2 linked regions of the Alligator mississippiensis genome follow. The protein of the gene in region 2 purifies or fractionates together with the protein of the main gene of each other region. This does not show direct contact. Links are inferred from orthologs where the notes say so. Each region holds a gene or a part of one and is shown on either strand. Other genes may lie near its edges.

What was found.
Region 1: the proteins of ABCA1 (region 2) and NR1H2 purify together in Homo sapiens (affinity purification with western blotting; 3 studies listed by BioGRID and IntAct, with this or other methods). This does not show direct contact. The link is inferred for Alligator mississippiensis from reciprocal best matches to the Homo sapiens genes ABCA1 and NR1H2.

Annotation. Positions count from the first base shown.
Region 1 is NC_081828.1:40,182,234-40,190,639, reverse strand, and holds the start of NR1H2 (oxysterols receptor LXR-beta), read right to left. Parts: upstream 4,081-8,406; 5' UTR 3,996-4,080; intron 3,234-3,995; 5' UTR 3,111-3,233; intron 2,970-3,110; 5' UTR 2,929-2,969; coding exon 2,898-2,928; intron 2,578-2,897; coding exon 2,431-2,577; intron 1,847-2,430; coding exon 1,577-1,846; intron 874-1,576; coding exon 641-873; intron 219-640; coding exon 39-218; intron 1-38. Other genes in the region: ACP4 (testicular acid phosphatase), read left to right, coding at 6,807-6,893, 7,204-7,299, 7,382-7,468, 7,659-7,805, 8,265-8,406. UniProt on the Homo sapiens protein: Nuclear receptor that exhibits a ligand-dependent transcriptional activation activity. Binds preferentially to double-stranded oligonucleotide direct repeats having the consensus half-site sequence 5'-AGGTCA-3' and 4-nt spacing (DR-4).
Region 2 is NC_081826.1:157,970,391-157,979,274, forward strand, and holds the start of ABCA1 (phospholipid-transporting ATPase ABCA1), read right to left. Parts: upstream 4,070-8,884; 5' UTR 3,896-4,069; intron 1-3,895. UniProt on the Homo sapiens protein: Catalyzes the translocation of specific phospholipids from the cytoplasmic to the extracellular/lumenal leaflet of membrane coupled to the hydrolysis of ATP.

The sequences.
Region 1 (8,406 bases), on a different chromosome or scaffold from region 2:
TCTCCATGTCCTATGGAAAACCTGGAGCCCAGAACTACCTCAATGGTGGAGGCCTTGAGCAGGGCGATCTGGTCCTCACGAGCCAGCTGCAGGAAGCCAGGTACCTGCTTGGCGAAGTCAACAATCTCTTGCACGGAGATGATGGCCAGCTCGGTGAAATGGGCAAAGCGCTGCTGCCGGGCTTCCCGGCTGTTGGGATCATTGCCCAGGGGCCATGGCTGCAGGTATGCACAGTGCAAGTTGGGGTGAGATGTGGCACCTCCATGCCCAGCCCCCATGGGACAGCACCATCCTTTGGAAAGAAACTGGGATACCCAGGAGCTACCACCTCCACACACTGGGGGATCCATGGGGCATATGCCACCCCCTGGCACCAAGGGGTGCCTGCTATGGGGTAGCCCAGGGCTAGGGTGTCCCACCACCTTTACAACAGATGCCCAAGCCATGGGGAAAAAGAGGGCAAGACATGATACTTCTGTCCTGTGGCACCAGGCACCTGTACCCTCCCTGGCACTGGGGGAGGGAGGGCTCTGATGCCTAGTGATGTCTATGCCTTGCCAGTGTGCGTGTGGGGTGAGGGGGGCTTTGGTGCCCAGAGCTGGAGAGATCTGCAGTGCCCAGGGCTGCCAAGGCCACTCACCGTGACCTTGGGCTGATCACTGAAGGAGCGCTTGTTGCACTGCTGCTGAGCCGCCACCAGCTGCTGGATCATGCGCTCCTGCTGCTGTGTGAGCTGGGCAGGCTCAGGCAGCCCCAGCACAGGGTCTGGGAGCAGCGGGGGCACCCGGGGCATCTCGCCCCCCCCACACCCCTCCTGTTGCTGCTGCTGCCGGCTCAGCTTCTTCTTCCGTAGCTGCTCCTCCGACAGGACATCTGCCATGCAACGGGGTCATTGGGGTACAGGCATTGGAGGGGACCCCTGCCCCTCTCCACCCCACTTCAGCCCTCTCCAAAGCAGAACACAACACTCCCCTGCTGGTGCCCCAGGTCCCCCACCCCCTGCCCAGCCTGATCCCAGGCTCCTAGTTGCCCCCACACTGCCAGACAAGCTGGCTGCCCCACCATGCCCCCTCCCTGTACACCCTGTGACCCCCCCGCACCCCTCCCTCTCCTTGTGCCCCTGCCTCCCCACCCCATCACACACAAGCCAACCAGCTCCCACCCCCTGGCACCCTCCCTAGCCACAGCCCATGACACACACTGCCCCCCTCCCTGCCCCAGCATGTGATTCACACCACTTGCACATGCCAGCTGGACCCTTGATGCCCTACATCAGCCCTTGCTGGTCCCCCAATCCACACAGCCTGTTCCCCTGATGCCCTCATGCCTCTGATCCCCAAGTCCTCACAAGCCTTCTTGGGCCCATGGCCTGGTTTACTGCCTGCCAGGCACCAGTACCACTCCTGATGCATGATCCACCTGACTGGTGCCTGCGAACCTGTGCCCTAAGGCTGGCTTCCACTGTTCACATTGCAAGCCTGTGACCACTCTGCCCCCCGTCCCCCTCCCTATCTGGCTACCCCAGAGCTCCCCCATGTTCCCAGCCTGCCCCCAGCCCATGGCCCCAAGCACTCACACTGCTCTCGCATGCCAGCCTGGCGGCACTTGCGAAAGCGACACAGTTGGCATTTGCGGCGCATGTAGGGGTCCATGTGGCATTGGCCAGCACCACGGCAGGCATACTGTGCCCCCTTGATGACACTGCGGCGAAAGAAGCCCTTGCAGCCCTCACAGCTCAGCACATTGTAGTGGAAGCCTGAGGCTTTGTCCCTGCATACACTGCACCGCTCTGTGCCCAGCATCTTAGGCGCCGGGCCCTTGCGGTGGCGCCGCACCGGTTCCTCCCCTGCAGCCATAGGGATAGAGGAGCAAAGTGGGGCATCAGGGTCAGGCTCAGAGCACCAGGCCTTGCCTGCTGAGCCTTGCCCATTATGCCCCACTGACCCCCCAACTACTTCCCATGCCTCACTGACCCCCCCCCACTGCCCCCAACTCACTAGCCCTCGTACCCCACTGCCCCCCATTCTCCACTGTCCCCGCACTGGGCCCTCTGACACCCTTCCATTGCCCCTCCATGCCCCACTGCTCCCTATCCTCTTATGCCCCACTATCCCTATATCCCATTACTTCCCCACTGCTCCCCATGTCCCAGTGACCTGCCCATACACTGCTCCCCACTGGACCCCCCATGCCCTACTGCCCCCCCACTGGCTGCAATGATACCCCTCCACTGCTTCCATGCCCCACTGCCCCCCATCTCTTTAGCTACTCTCCTCAGTTCTCACCCATTCAGCCCCACCAGGGCCCCCTGTCCCTGCAGCCCCACTGACAGCCAGCTCCCCTGCCCTGCTGAGCCCAGCACCCACAGATGCACTCCTCACCCCTTGCTCTAGCCCCTCCCACCCCATTCACCACCCCCCAGCCCCTCACCAGTGCTCTGGGCGGTTCCTTCCCCATCGGTGCCCGGCACCTCACTGTCTGCTACAGCTCCCAACTCCAGCTGGGAGTGGGGGCCCTCGTTCTTCAACTCTGGGTCAGGGGCTCTGGTGGGGGCTGGGCTCCAAGGCTCCCTGTTCTCTGGAAAGTGGGGGGGAAGTGGGGGAGAGAGGTCAGCAGTAGTATCCCCAAAGGAGAAGCCTGTGGCTGCCCAGACACCTGGGTCTTTGGTGGAGTGCTGCAGGACTGGGGCAAAGGGAAGGGAGGCTGTGGGTCCTCAGATGCCTGGACACCAGAGGGAAGTAGCCTGGGTTCCTCTGATGGGGCTTCTGATGCCTGGGTTCTCCTGCAGGGATTATTGTGTTACTTGGGGGGGGTGGAAGGGCAGCCACTGCCCGGATGCCTGGGTTCTGTCACAGAAAGGGACCCCACACCCACACCCCAATTTGCCCGTCACTCACCCGGCAGTAGGTCAGATCCCGGTGTGGCCATGTTGGGGCGTGGTGGGCTGCCAGTGGCACCCAGTCCCAGTGCTACAGAAGGAGAGACAGAAGGATGGTCAGACAAGCAGAAACAGACCCCCCACCCCACCCCACCAGCACTCACCGCTGTCCCACAGAGCTGTGAGGGAACCACCCCCAGGCCCCCCACAACCAATATCTCCCACTTCTCACCATGTCCACCACCTCCTGGGGGCAGGCTCAGCTGGGCAGGGGCCACATGGCACTGCCCTGGGGGGCACTGGGGCAAGTTCTGGGGGATCCTTCAGGGTCTGGGCTGCTCCCAGGGGAATAACTCTGAGAAGCAAAGGGAAGTGGGGTCCTTCCTGTTTGGCAGGGAGTGCCCCCTTACCTACCACTCCCCCCCCCCGACATTCCCCAGCCCCTTCCCCTGCTTGGGGCTGCCACCCATGCCCCACCTCACTCCCTCCCAAATCCAATCCAAGCTCTAAACCCCCAGAACTCCTCCCATCCCTGATTGCCCCTCTAACTCCCTGCCCAGAGCCCCTGCTTCTGCCCCCCACACACTCCATAACCAAGTCCTGGACCCATCCTGCTGCCCACCCTTCCTCCTTTCAGACCCCTCTGCTCTCCTCACACAAACCCTACAAGCTCCTAGTCCCCCAGCCTGCCCCCCCCACCTTGCCCAGGCCCCCCAATCCCAGTCCCTCATGCCCTACCCTTACCTCCCAGCCCAGCCCCACATCACTCCCCCCATCCCAGCTCCGGACCCCCAGTGCTGCCCCTCAGCCCCAATCCCCCCCAGGCACCTGCTTCTCTGCCCCCCACACCTCATAACTGGGTCCTGGACCCTACTCTGGTCCTGTCCCTCCCCCAACCCTGCCTCTTCCTTCTCCTCCTTCCCCTCCCGACCCCCCTCTGCTATCCCCAGCCCCACAAACTCCCAGCCCCCTGTCCCGATCCCAGCCCCCTGCCTGGCTCACCCTGCACTTATCCCAGCCCCCCTGGCCTGCCCAGCCTCGCCATCCCAGGCTCCATGCCTGCCCCTACCCCCCATCCCAGCCCTCCCGGCCCCGCCCCCGATCCCAGACCCCATACCTGTCTCCTTCCAGGCGCCCCCCCCCACACACACACACACGCACACGCATTCACACGGGCCTTTCCGGGAACCCCCACATCCACGTCACTTCCAGCCCAGCCCCCCCGGATCCGGTGCAATTGGGGAGGAAGGGGGGGTGGAACCGGCTGTCCCCCCCAACCCCGTGCCCTGGGGGGTGGGGGAGCGGCGGAGGGGCTCGGGCTGCCCCACTTAGCCCCCTCCCCCCGCAGCAGAGGTTGCAACATTGTTGCTGTTGGGAGCGGAAATCTGCTTTCTACCCCCGTCACTCCTCAAAAAAATCCCTTGCCGGGTGCGACCGCCCCCCTCCCCCCAGGAGCCGCGGCGCAGAGTCGGGGTATTTTGGGGGGCAAGTCTGAGCCCGCTGGATTGAGGGGTTCCCGACATACAGCCCCTAACATTGGAAACGTGTTTCCCCTCTCAGCTCCCCGCAACATGGTCCAATCTGCTCGGAAGTCGCAGCACAGATCCCGGGATCCGGCTGAATCTTGTCTGGGGGGGGGGGGGGACGCGAGCAGTTGGAGCTCGCTGGATTGAAGGGTTCCCGAGATAGGAAACCCCCTTCCAGCCTGGGGGCGCGTTTCTCAGCTCCCTCCAGTATGGTCCGATCTGCTTGGAAATCGCCACTGGGATTCCGGGGGCTGCGGGGGTTAAGAGGGGTAAATCTGAGCACGCTGGACTTAGGGATTCCCAAAATAGGCCCCCCAATCTGGAAGGTGTTTTCCTCTTAGCTGGCCGTGGCATGGTCCGGTCTGCTTGGAAATTGCAGCAGGAACCCGGTGGGGGGGCTATGGGAAGCAAATTTGAGTTTGCTGGATTTAGTAGTTAATGAGATATAGCCCCCCCCCCCCCCCCGCATTGGAAATATATAGCCTCTCAAATGCACCGGTGCCATCCAATCCCCTTGCCCAACACTGGGCTGAATGGCGGGGCGGGGGGGAAATTTTGGGGGGTAAGCTTGAGCTTCCTACTTCGAGGGGTTCCCCAGATGCAGCCTGCCCCCGGGTTTGTAGCTTGCTCCTGCTTTCCAGCCCATAGACAGAGCCCCTGTACTGGGGAGTCACGTGGGTGGTGGGGATTCTAAGGGGCAGGTTTGAGCTCCCTATACAGGAGTCGCTGAAAGGCGCCCATCCCAAAACTGGACCCCCCCACCCCCAACAGGGGCCAGAGAGGAGAGAAGACCTGGCTGGGGCTGGGGGGAGGTCTCTGTACCAGGACAGGAAATGCTACAGGGATCTCAAAACCCAAGGCCTGCCTCATGGGGGCACCCCCACACTCATCTGCCCAGGCCCACAATGCTTCAGGGCTGGAACCCCCTAAAAAGGAAAGGCCCCTGCTCTATCCCTGTCCCCTGTGCCAGCCCATGCCCCTGCACTGGGGTTGGATCTGGGCAGGCACCTTCTAGAAGGGAAAGGCTTCTGGAAGTGGCCTCATGGCAGGGAGGGGGCTGGATTGTCCCACACTTGCCCCAGCCCAGCCCCAGCCTCTTCAGGGTCCCCAAATCCCCCACACCCCCTCACTTCCACAGCCCTGTATCCCCTGGGGTGCAGCAGGGCAGTGCCCAGACATGCAGCAACACACCTAACCCCAATTAATACAAGCCCCTGAGTGGCTCAGACACATGCACCACACACCTCAACACATCCATCCACCATTGACCCACCTGCAGTCCATGGACACACAGTGACATCCATTTTCCATGTGCGCTCCCCTGCTACACCCCAGCACCCTCCCTGACATGAGGCCACTGCTACATCCTCCATGCACCCATTCATCACATATATCAATGTGCACATGCACACACACACTTCCATCACATGCACCTCCACCATGTGCATTCACCCACCCAAACACACCCTCCACAGTATGCAAATACATATGAGGTACAAACACACATGTGCATGTCTCTGAAATATACAGGTACACACAGCATATGCACACACAACTCTCTGAAATACACAATTACAAATAGTTTGCCTGCACACCTCTGCAATGCACAAGTACACACAGCACACAATGCTCTCCAATACACAAGTGCACACAGCACACACATACGTACCTCTCTGCAATACACAAATATGCACAGCACACACACCTCTCTCAAATACACAAGTACACACACACACACCCTCTACAATATGCAGACACATACAAGACACAAACACATCTCTGCAATATACAAGCACATGTAACATGTACACATATGCCTCTCTCTGTAATAGTTACACACAATGTGCCTGCACACACGCCTCTGCAATACACAAGTATGCAGTGTGCACATACAAACCTCTCTGTGATGCACATGCACACACACATCTCTCTGCAATACAGAAGTATACATAGCACGTGTGCATACACACACCCCTCTCTGCAATACACAAGTACACACAGCACACACACACACACACACATAAAACCACTAAACACCCCCCCTGCACTACAAGGAAACATCAACATGAACATTAACCCACCACACACTGCATAGTAGATGCACACACACACACACACACATATACATGCACACACCTGCCCGCAACCACAAACACCTCTATGAGCAATGTACAGACACCCCCTTCCCCCACCACCACCTCCCTGAGCCACCTCAGCAAGTCTGTGCCCCAGACTGGTAGTTAGGAAAGTCTGCCCTAACCCCCCCCAGCTGTGGGGGGCAGGCAGTGGCACCCATGGGCAGGTGGGGGGGCATGCAGGCTGGGACAGGCCCACCCCACCTGTGGGCTGACCTCAGCAGCTTATAACCAGGCCCTGCCTGGGTGACACATCAGCCCCACACCATGGGGCTGCCTGCTGCCCTGCTCCTGCTCCTGCTGGGGTCCCAGCCCCCCACCGCCCATGCCAGGACCCTCTGCTTCGTCACACTGGTACGGCAAGGCCACAGCCCACCCAGGGCAGGCTAGTGATTGTGGGGGAGGGGGCACAGACTGAGAGCAGGACCCCTGGGTTCTATCCCAGCTTGGGGTAGGGGAGTAGGCTCTGGTGGGTGAGAGAAGGGAGGCTGGGACCAGGACAGCTGAGTTCTCTCCCAGCTCTGGAGAGGGACTGGAGGCTGGTGGGCAAGAGCAGTGGGGGCTGGAAGCCAGGGCACCTGGGTTCCCTCCCAGCTCTGGATCTTGAGGGTAGGGGGTGGTTTGTTGGAGAGGAGGGGGACACTTGGTCTTCTCTGCACACCAGCTGTATCGCCATGGCGACCGGGCCCCCATGGACACCTACCCCAGTGACCCCCACAAGGAGGGGCCCTGGCCCCAGGGCTTCCAGCAGCTCACTCAGGTGAGTGGGGGGGTCTTACTGGGGCAGGGAGAGACATGCTGCAGGTGTTGGAGGCTGCTCCTGACTCCACCTGTTGCCCCAGGTGGGGGTGGAACAGCAGCGTGAGCTGGGCCAGTTCCTGCGGCAGCGCTATGAGGCCTTCCTGAGCCCCCACTACCACCCCCAGGAGGTAACAGCCCCCCCACACACACACCAGGTTCTGATCCCTCCCTACCCCCACTGCCCTGAAGCCCCCAGGCCCACTCCAAGAAGGAACAGCCCCCTCCCTCGAGGCCCTATACCCCTCCTGACCCCTGATGTCCCCATGCTCACCCCCACCCTATGCTGACCCACCCTCACCCCACTTGCCTCTCCTGCAGATCTACGTCCGCAGCACCGACTATGACCGCACGCTGGCCAGCGCCCAGGCTAACCTAGCTGGGCTGTACCCACCTGGAGGTGCCGGGCCCCCCAACCCCGCCTGGCAGCCAGTGCCTGTCCACACTGTGCCAGCTGCACAGGACAAGGTGAGCCGGGGCTATGGGTCACCCCTTCAGGGGGCCCAGCCACTCTCTGCACCTTGCATACCCCCCTCACTGCCTCTAGCCTGAGGGCAGGACCCCTGAGCCCCATGCCTGGAAGCCCCATCACATACCTATGCCCCCACAGACCCCAATGTGCCCCCACTGCACCACCCCCACATCTTCTAATGCCCCCCTCCACATTCTCCATGCCCCTGGTCCCCAGGCTTATGAGCCCTTCAAGGGTCAGAGGTTGCGGAGCTGAGGTCTCAGCTAGGATCAGAGCTCACCCTAGGTCAAAGGGTCACCATCTCCTTCTAAGTCAGAATTAGGGGGTAATGATGAAAGGGGCCACATTTAAGGTTAGGGTCACATTCTCCTTTAGGTGGAGGTCATCCCACCTACACTTGGGGTTGAGGAGTCATGGTCAGGGTGTTGCTAACTCCATCCTGCCTCCCTACCTAGCTCCTGCGCTTCCCACTGCGGCCTTGCCCACGCTACCAGCAGCTGATGGAGGAGACCACCCATCTGCCACAGCATCAGGCCCGCATGCATGCCTGGAAGGTGCTTGGGGGGACTTCCCCATCATCACCTCAGCCAGGCCTGG
Region 2 (8,884 bases):
TTAAAAGAAAAATCTATGCTTAATCTATACTCCAATCAACACCTTGAACCTAGCAACATGAATATTCTTTCACCACTTAACATTTTCATAGGACTTACTGTGCAGTGAAGAAAATTTTATTGAGGTTGAGAAACATGGCTCAAGTCAGATACATGATTTTTACATGAAATGTTGTGGCTCATCTCTCCTATTTTTGCAGTCTCTCTAAGAATCTCCTGAGTATACCTGTAATGCATGTTATAACACTCAGCATTACAAATGGGTTATTGTTAGGTACCTAACACACAGAGAATATATGCTCGAGCCAAATTCTCAGCGGATGTAAATTGGCAGCATTCTTTTGACATTGACAGAACTCTAGCAATTTATACCCAGGGAAAATCAGACACCCTCCCCCCCAATCTTCCCCAGTTAGACCAAGATAAGAAAGGGAATTTGTTATTAAAGTAAAACACCCGAGCTGGATTCTGCCGCCACTCACATCAGAGTTCCAGAACAATGCTCCCAATACCCTGGCATGTGAGCCAATACACACCCTACAGGCACCTTTCTTCTTCCCAAGCAAGATTCACACCCTGTTCAACACTTCAGTCTCATGCAGCCATTTGACGTTCTTTACAGCATGAACAAAGTTACCCATCTGGTAACTGAACCTATCATAACACAATGAGAAGAGATAAAACTAGACCTTTTCTGATCCCTCCCTAGAACAAAAATCTTGCTATCAGTCACAGCCAGATGAGCTCCCTGATGTCTGCAGCATCACACACACAGCAGAGGGGAGATGCACCTTTGAAATCACTTCCGTTCTTACAATTCACTCAAGATCAAACCTTGCACTCATGATTAGAGTATTCTCAGTCAATCTAAAGTAACTTTGAAATCAACACAGCCTCTTCAGACTTGCACTGGAGTAAATGAGAACAAACCCTGGGCATTACTTCTTATTCTGTAAACCCTTCTGCAAAAGGATTAATGGGAATTTTGCCTTGTCGAGACTGCAGAATTGTCTGTTGAGTCTTTGTGGAGTTTTGTCTCACGCACATGCACCTAGGATCTGCTTCTTGGTTGAGGGAGCAGGATAGGTTAAGCGAGGCAAAGTTCAATTAAAGAACTATTGGAAAGTTGAAATAACCTGGAAAACATACAAGGTGAGATCTGTTTCTATCGAGGCCCTCATATAAATGAGGATCAGGACAGTAGCACTGAGGCAATGATTTGCGCCACTAGAAACTCATCCTTAGCAGTGGTTTCTGTAGTAGTGCAAACAAGCGTTTAGATACTTTTTCCAAGACACCCAATTTTATCAGGTAGCTAAAGAGTTGTTTTCTAAAGTGAAGAAGTCATTATTTAATATTTCATTATTTAACATCAAGTCCTATCTGAAAACTTTGCAAGGTACAAATGGGGCTACTTTGCATTTACAGAAAATCGGAGATCTCTCAAATACAACTGTGATCCAGGGTGTTAATTTCATATGTAGGACACAAACAGTGCAAATAAAAAAAGAGAAACATTTAATTCTTAAGAAGCACTGTAGGATCTATGGCCACCAGATATGGAAACATAACTGGATTAATCTCAGAACAACACAGGGCAAGCACCAGTTTGTTCCCCGTCACAGACATGCTAATAGGAGTATGCCCAACACTGCTTCCTCGCATCATTTGGGGACTCAGAAAATGCTGAGGGGGTACAACACTCTTACTACAGCACTCCATATCACAGCCTGTAGGTAGTAAGTAGAGACATGCCCAGAATGATCTATCATTGGATCTCCTGTGTCCCACCAAGAGATTTCACCCAGCAAAACCTGCTTCACACCCAAAAAATTGCTGGCTGAAACCAAGCACACCTTGCAGAGACAGACAAATAGTCTCATGTAAAGACTCCAAGTGGCTAGGAATACACAGCATCCCTTAGTTAGCTGCTCCAATGTTAAATATCCTGAAGGCTCAGGACAAGCGTAGCGCCTTCTTAACCTGGCAGGGAGAGTACCATGTATGTGTGCCCAAAAAGGCAGTTTTCCTGAACTGCTCTTCTGGCATGGTTCAGGACCCGCTGAGGTGCAATGGCTTTCAGCCCAGTTTATGGAAATGGCAGTCTCCTCCCTGCTTGCTCCAAGGGCCTTATGGCTAAGGGCAAGCAAAACTCAGGGGCATCCAAACCAATGCCCGCCAAAGGTTTTGGAAACATCTGAAGTCCCAGGTGCAGGTGGAGGATGTTTGCTGGTAGCACGGCCACTTATGGTGGCCACTTTGGCCAAATTAGCCAAAACTAATTCTAAATCCAAGTGTCTAGAACCGTAAGTGGCTCTACTGGCAAACACCCTCACCATTAAAACTGCTGCAGAGCAAACAAAATTTTGGTCTAAAGATGCAAAAAAGCTAGATTTCCTTCCGCATAGAGCCCACTGAAGCAGCACTGTTTATGGGATAAAGTGCCACTTGGTGCAAGTAACGGCACCAGGGCTTGGCTCTTTATAGTCAGGAGCAAAGCGGGCAGAGTTTGTGTAGCTGCCGTTACATGTCATTCCAATAATGTGGTAGACAAAGTCCCTAACAGTAGGCAATAATAATCCTTGTGGGATCTCATCATATAATCGCTGGTCATATTTAATTTTAAAAAAGGCAAAATAGGCAGTAAGAGTCAAGTACTTGCAATATTTGGATTCAATTTCTCCTTTTTTATCCCCACTGCCCCCATACAAAAATTGAATTTGCACTGGGGTCAGTCAGTTATGCTGTTACAGAGCTTGCACTGCTCTTTTCAGTATTTGGATGCGTTAACATGGCCAGATGTTTGAGAAAGCTCAGTTCCCATATCAGCCCAACGCAGCAAAGTGCATAAGCAGATGCTTCAGTCCCGCCTTCAGCGCAGTTACAGATACCAATTCACACCAACTGAAGATCCACCCAAAATAAACTATATACAAGCATCTAGGAGGGTGGTTCTTTGCAGGGAAAACTATTCTCAGTCTAAGATACTTAAAAGAAACTAAGCCCAAAGTTTAGGAAAGTTCATTTATAGGACTAAACTAAACATAAAGGAAGATGGATATCTGCGTGAAAACTTTGAAAGATATTTTTTTGTTTTGTGGAGGGACAAATATTAGAGTTTAGGATGCGCTCCTGTATCCTTTTTCTTTTGTCCCCCTTAAATATTTTTAGATATCCCATGACACTCAACCAAAACAAAACAGGAGCGCTCATAATAGGCTAATGACAGGTTGCAAGGCAGCTCTATAATAGGCTGCAATGTAAAAACAAGATATACTGGGTGTTAAAGCCACAGCAAGGATGCGAAGGATCACAATCCTACGTGCCTGTGGACCTGGAGACCAGACCCTGGCCCATTGGGTGCCGGCATCCCTCAAAGAAGGATGAAACACGGGGAGAGCCAAGTCTATCTTGCCCATGGATACACTGAGGCGAAAAATTCATAAAGAGAAAATAGAAGGGGGGGGGGCACAAACAAGCAAACAAAAACTCTTCTTCCCCTTCCCCACAAGAGTTTCCTTTATTCTGTGAAAACATCCTTGCGGGGACCGCTCCCGACTTAGCAGCAAGGGGAAGGGAAATGAGGATAGGGCCTCCAGCTACTCAAACCCCATCTGTGTTCCCCTCTCCCGTCACAAACCCGGCTCCTCGGGCTCGCTGCTGTTTCCCGCGGAGGCGCCGCTCGCGGCCGGGGTTACTCTCGGGCAGCGCCGCCGCCCCGCGCAACAGCCCCGGCTGGAGGCGCCTGGAGGGGCAGCACCCGGCACACCCCCACCCCGCCGGCACCCCGCAGCAACAAGCCTCCTCTCTGCTTTGTTCGGGGGGCTTTAAGAGAGGAGAAACTATGTCCCCCGAGAAGGGGGCGAGGCGAGCCGTGGGGAGAGGGGCAGCCCTACCTGCGCGCTCCGTGCCGGCGGACTCCCCGCTGCCCAGCCCAGGTCCCGCGTGCCCCGGCCGCAACGTTTGCTGCTGCTCCGCGCCGGACCCCAGCTGCCTTTATTGCCTCGCAGGGAGGTTATTGCCGGTCAAGCCCGGCTGCCTCCCGCGCTGTTTATACGGAGCCGTCACTCAGGCGGAGCACGTGGAGCCGCGCCGCCCTCTTAAACGGGCCGGGGCACGCACGCGAGCGGGGCCGCCTCTCCCGGGGCCACCCCTACCAGGCAGCGCCGGGCTCCCCTGAGCGGCTAGTCCGCCAAGCGGGCCACGCGGCCCCTCCCCCATACAAGGGTAGACGCAGAGGTTGCAGAGCGAAACGCAGCAGTTGTGCCAGATGTTTCCTAGCTTCGCTGGATGAAACACGCCTTGCCTATTGTCTCGAGAGTGCGAGACTGTGTGCATCACGTTTTCCCCCGGCTTGGATCGCCCCCACTGGCCCCTGCTCGAGCGCCTCCGCCCGGGTCTCGGGATCTGCTGGCAGGATGAGGTCGCCAGCGCAGAGCGTTGGTGATGCGCAAGGGGTGCACGCGGGTGCACGTACCCTAGCTGAGATTGGCAGTGCGCCCCCTGCGAAAAGGCGCCGCCGACAGTGTTGGCCTGCAGGCGGTTGCCACTCGCCACCCACCCCCTTTGCCACCGACACCGCCGGGAGTATCTGCAGGCGGTCCATGATCACCACTGGCTGCCACCGACACTGCCGGCTGTGTCTGTGGGTGGTTGCTGACTGCCACCCCCTCCCCACTGCCGATGACAGTGCTACAGCTGCCTGCACCAGCTCCCCATTTGCCTCTGCCACGCTCCTGCTGCTGACACCACTGCCTGCAGGAGCTCACCATGCCCCACTAGCCCCCGGGGGCATATGGTGCTCATGACACAGAGGTGCTACAAAGCCCATGCCACCAGCATCCAGGCTGTTCTCCTGCACACTCGGTTGCGGTGGGCAGGCCACGTGGCCCGGATGGATGACAACCACCTACCAAAGGCCATGCTGTACAGGGAACTGACAACCGGGAAATGTGACACCCTGAAAAGGTCCTTTCCTGCCTGCAGTGTTGACTACAAACTATGGAAAACACAAGCTGCAGATCATGATGCCTGGGGGCTTCAAAACAAAAAGGCAATAGCCCTCTTTGAATGACAGGGCAGAACTAGCATCAAGGAGAAGAGAAGGAGGAGGAAAGATACACCCTCATCTAGCGGCAACCAGCTATAGCCATGTGACCGTTGCAGCAGGATTTGCCTCTCTGCAATTGAACTAGTTAGTCACCAGCAGGCCTACAACTGGCGTGGGCAGTTACCTTCCTAAAACCTTCATCTGCAAAGAACTGCCAAGAGGGGCCTAGTTCTGCACACCCTGACAATATCTATGAATCTATGAACTCCTGCACAGGACCAGGCACCCTCAAGCCCTAGGAGCACTTGCCCGGCCCCTCCTGCTTACTGAGACACAAACCCAGGATCTCTGGCATGTCCCCAGCAAGAGGGGAGAGTCAGAGTTTCCCCCTTACAGAGGCACGTCCCAGAAATCCTAAGATTAGTTAGCCTGGAGAAGACTGAGGGGGAATTTGCCAAGAATCTTCAAATACAAAAAGCTATTAAAAGGCTGGTGATCAACTGTTTTGTGCATCCGTGAGGGGACAGGAGAAGACATACTCTTAAATTGCATAAAGGAAGATTTAGGTTAGACCACCAGTTCTCAAACTCTGACAGATTGTATTTTTTTAAATTGGTGGTGCACAACCTTAAGTACCACCAGCAAGTGTTTCAGTTCAAACTGAAGTACCACTAGCAAATTCTTGTTATGTAAAGTAATTAAAATAAATCTGTTAATGTGTACCACTGACAAGCTGTCTGCATACCACTGGTGGTACCCATACCACAGATTGGGAACCGCTGGGTTAGACGTTAAGAAGAACTTTCTGAATTCCATTAGCTTTCCTGGATCATAATATTAACTGAGAATATTCAGACAACAGACATGTTATAGGATCGGAAAATATGACTGTTTTCTCTCGTTTACGATGATACAAAATTAATACCAAAATGTGTTTATTAAGCATTTGTTATGTTCCTATTTAAAATGTTTTGAAGGCTTCCCCACCCACGTCAGCACTGGTGTAGTTAAACTGATGCATGCAGAAGCACTAACCATTTATTTTTTGTTTGAATGATTTATTTTGTTTTTACTTCACCCTGTTCCTCCTAACCAATGTAAAGTAACTCCAAATAATGCCATGTCTTCACTGCAGTGTAACCTCAGATTGGCAATTGAGTTAGGCAGAAGGCAGGGCAGAGCTGCACTAACTATACCAGAGATGCATAACATAGCCTTTTGTGAGCCCAAGCTCACTTCCTCAGCTACTGTGAAGCAACATGCACAGGGCTGGTCTCTGTGCATGGTCTTTTGATTTACAGCATCTGATGAAGTGAGTTTGAGCTCACAAAAGCTTATGCTACGCATCTCTGATTTAGTCTACAAGATGCAAATCTACCTTGCCTTCTGCCTGACTTCAGACTAACAGAGCTAACTACCTGTCTAATTATGAGTTATTCATTTTCCATCAGCATAGAGATATGTGACTAGGCTGCTGAACAGCAGTTAAGTACCATCTATATGCCTGCTACCCTATTTCACATCCACACCAGCATGCAGCCAGCATGAGAGATGATAGGTTATATCTGTACCACCACTCGGGGTTTGCACTCGGGCAAACCCGAGACTGTGGCCCTGCCCACTCACTCCTGCTCCATAAATGCTCCTTGCCTGGAAATGCAGTGTCAGTGCTTTTTGGTAAGGGATCTTAGCCCAGTGCCTGCCCTTGAGAACTCTTGCAGTGCATCTGAAGTGGAGTGAATAGAGATATACACCCAGACTTAGGTGCATCTTGCCTGAGGCTCCATTTGCTCTCACAAGGTACTGTGAGACAATCCGTTTTCTTTCTTCTGGGGATGAGAGAGAGAAATGGTCTAGGCCTAGGAATTCATTACCTGGAAGGATCAAAACCAGTGTGCTATTGTTTCCATTTGCTCAAAGCCTAGACTAAACTGAAGATAGTGTCCACACAACCCTCTATATTGATTAAAGCAACATTTTATATCATACCTTAAATTAAACCTGTGCCACAAGGCTGTGGATAGGGCCTCAGTCGTCTAATTATGGAGTAGAAACAATTCTGGAAATTAAATCATGGCCTTACAAAAATCAATGCCATTGACTGGCATTGTGGCCTGGCTTTCACTCCATAGTTTTTACTGTAAGTAGGAAGCAATGAACAGTGTAATGTAATAGTTTCCCAATAACCTATAGAATGCAAATTTGTTATCTGAACAATTTGCTAATACTGGTGACTTGGTCACACATTTGGAAAGAAGCTGACATCAACCCATAAATTTAAAAAAAGGCTTAGGTCACATTTTAAATGATTTGCATTACATCATTTGACCAGCTAGAGTTGCAAGAAACATGACCAATAATTTTCCAACTCCCTAAAAGCAAGGCTTTATTTTCACAATTTGTGATTTAATTGTATTATAGTTGTCATACCTCCATTTGTACCCCAGGTAAAAATCTGCCTCAAGAAGTGTATTGCTCTTCAGATTTCCCCTTCCCAGTGTCTAGTGGCATATCACTTTTAGAACCAGGAGCACAGAGTCCTTGGAATACATTGTATGAATGAGTCACTATGAATTTTTTAATGCATGAAAAGGCTGAAAACATTTAATCTACAAAAGACAGGTAATTCTAAATTATGGCTCCCTTTCCAAACATAATACAGCTCCATTGCTCATGTGTAGTAAAATCTACATTATTGGGTAGGCTGCTAATGCTTTGCTTTAATGTGAGTGCAATCTGGTTGATGTATGGTTGCTGTGGAAACTGTATCTTTGAATTTTCTGTCTTATGTGTTTCAATTTTCAGCCATAAAGTTGTCTTAGCATATTTTTGCATTGTATTTTTTTGGTTCTTTAAAGAAAAAACAAGGGAAAAAGTGAGTATTCTGATCTGAATATAGATTCATGAGAGATCAGAGTGATCAGCATTGGAAATAAAGTCAGCCACATGAGACTCAAACATACCATGGAAATATTCACATAAATATTATATATTCACATGGCCAGTACATGGGCCTACATCTTGCATTCAAAACAGTGGCCTTAACCGTACCTTCAGTTATACCTGCAGAACCTCCCAGAATAAATTTTATCTGTGACATGGAACTGGTTCAAAACTGAACATTTTTTTCAGTATATATCCTCAGATCAGAGGAAAAAGGAATCATATCATCTTATGATCAATATATTAGGAATGATACAAGACAATACAGAGCATTAAAAGAAAGTTAAACAATGGGCAAAGAATTTTCAAAAGAAGGCTGCATTTACAAACTGTATAAATGGTTAGCACTGAGCATCTGGAAATAGTTAATTTGGATATGGATAGTTATCATAAATTTTGTTTTGTTTTAGAAGTACAGAACATTTAAAGTAGTCTTTTCAACCAGGTGCTTTATCTGTAAAAATAAAAAAAAACTAAAATAGATAAATAAATAAATCTAAAAAAAAATTTTTTTTTAAATCAGAACCTTCTGCTCAAAGGAGCAAATTAAGATAGTTTCATTTAGCCTGCACTGTTAAAACACTGATAGCATTATATGCACTCACAATCTACTTTATAATATTTTTAACCTTATACCGTATTTACTGATTGCATTAGAGTGGCATCTAGAAGCCCCAACATGCTGTGCGAATACAAAGTGAGAAATGGACCCTGTCTCAAAGAGCTGAAAATCCCATTAGACAGGTCTGAAAGAGGGCTGACAGGAGAAGAGGCATGGAGAAATGGAGAAAGTAGTATTTGGTCACCCTGCAAGTTAGTGGCTGAGAAGAGAACTCCAGTTTCTTGACCCCAAGCATAGTGTCCTTCAAGTATAATGGCTTAATTTTCAGAG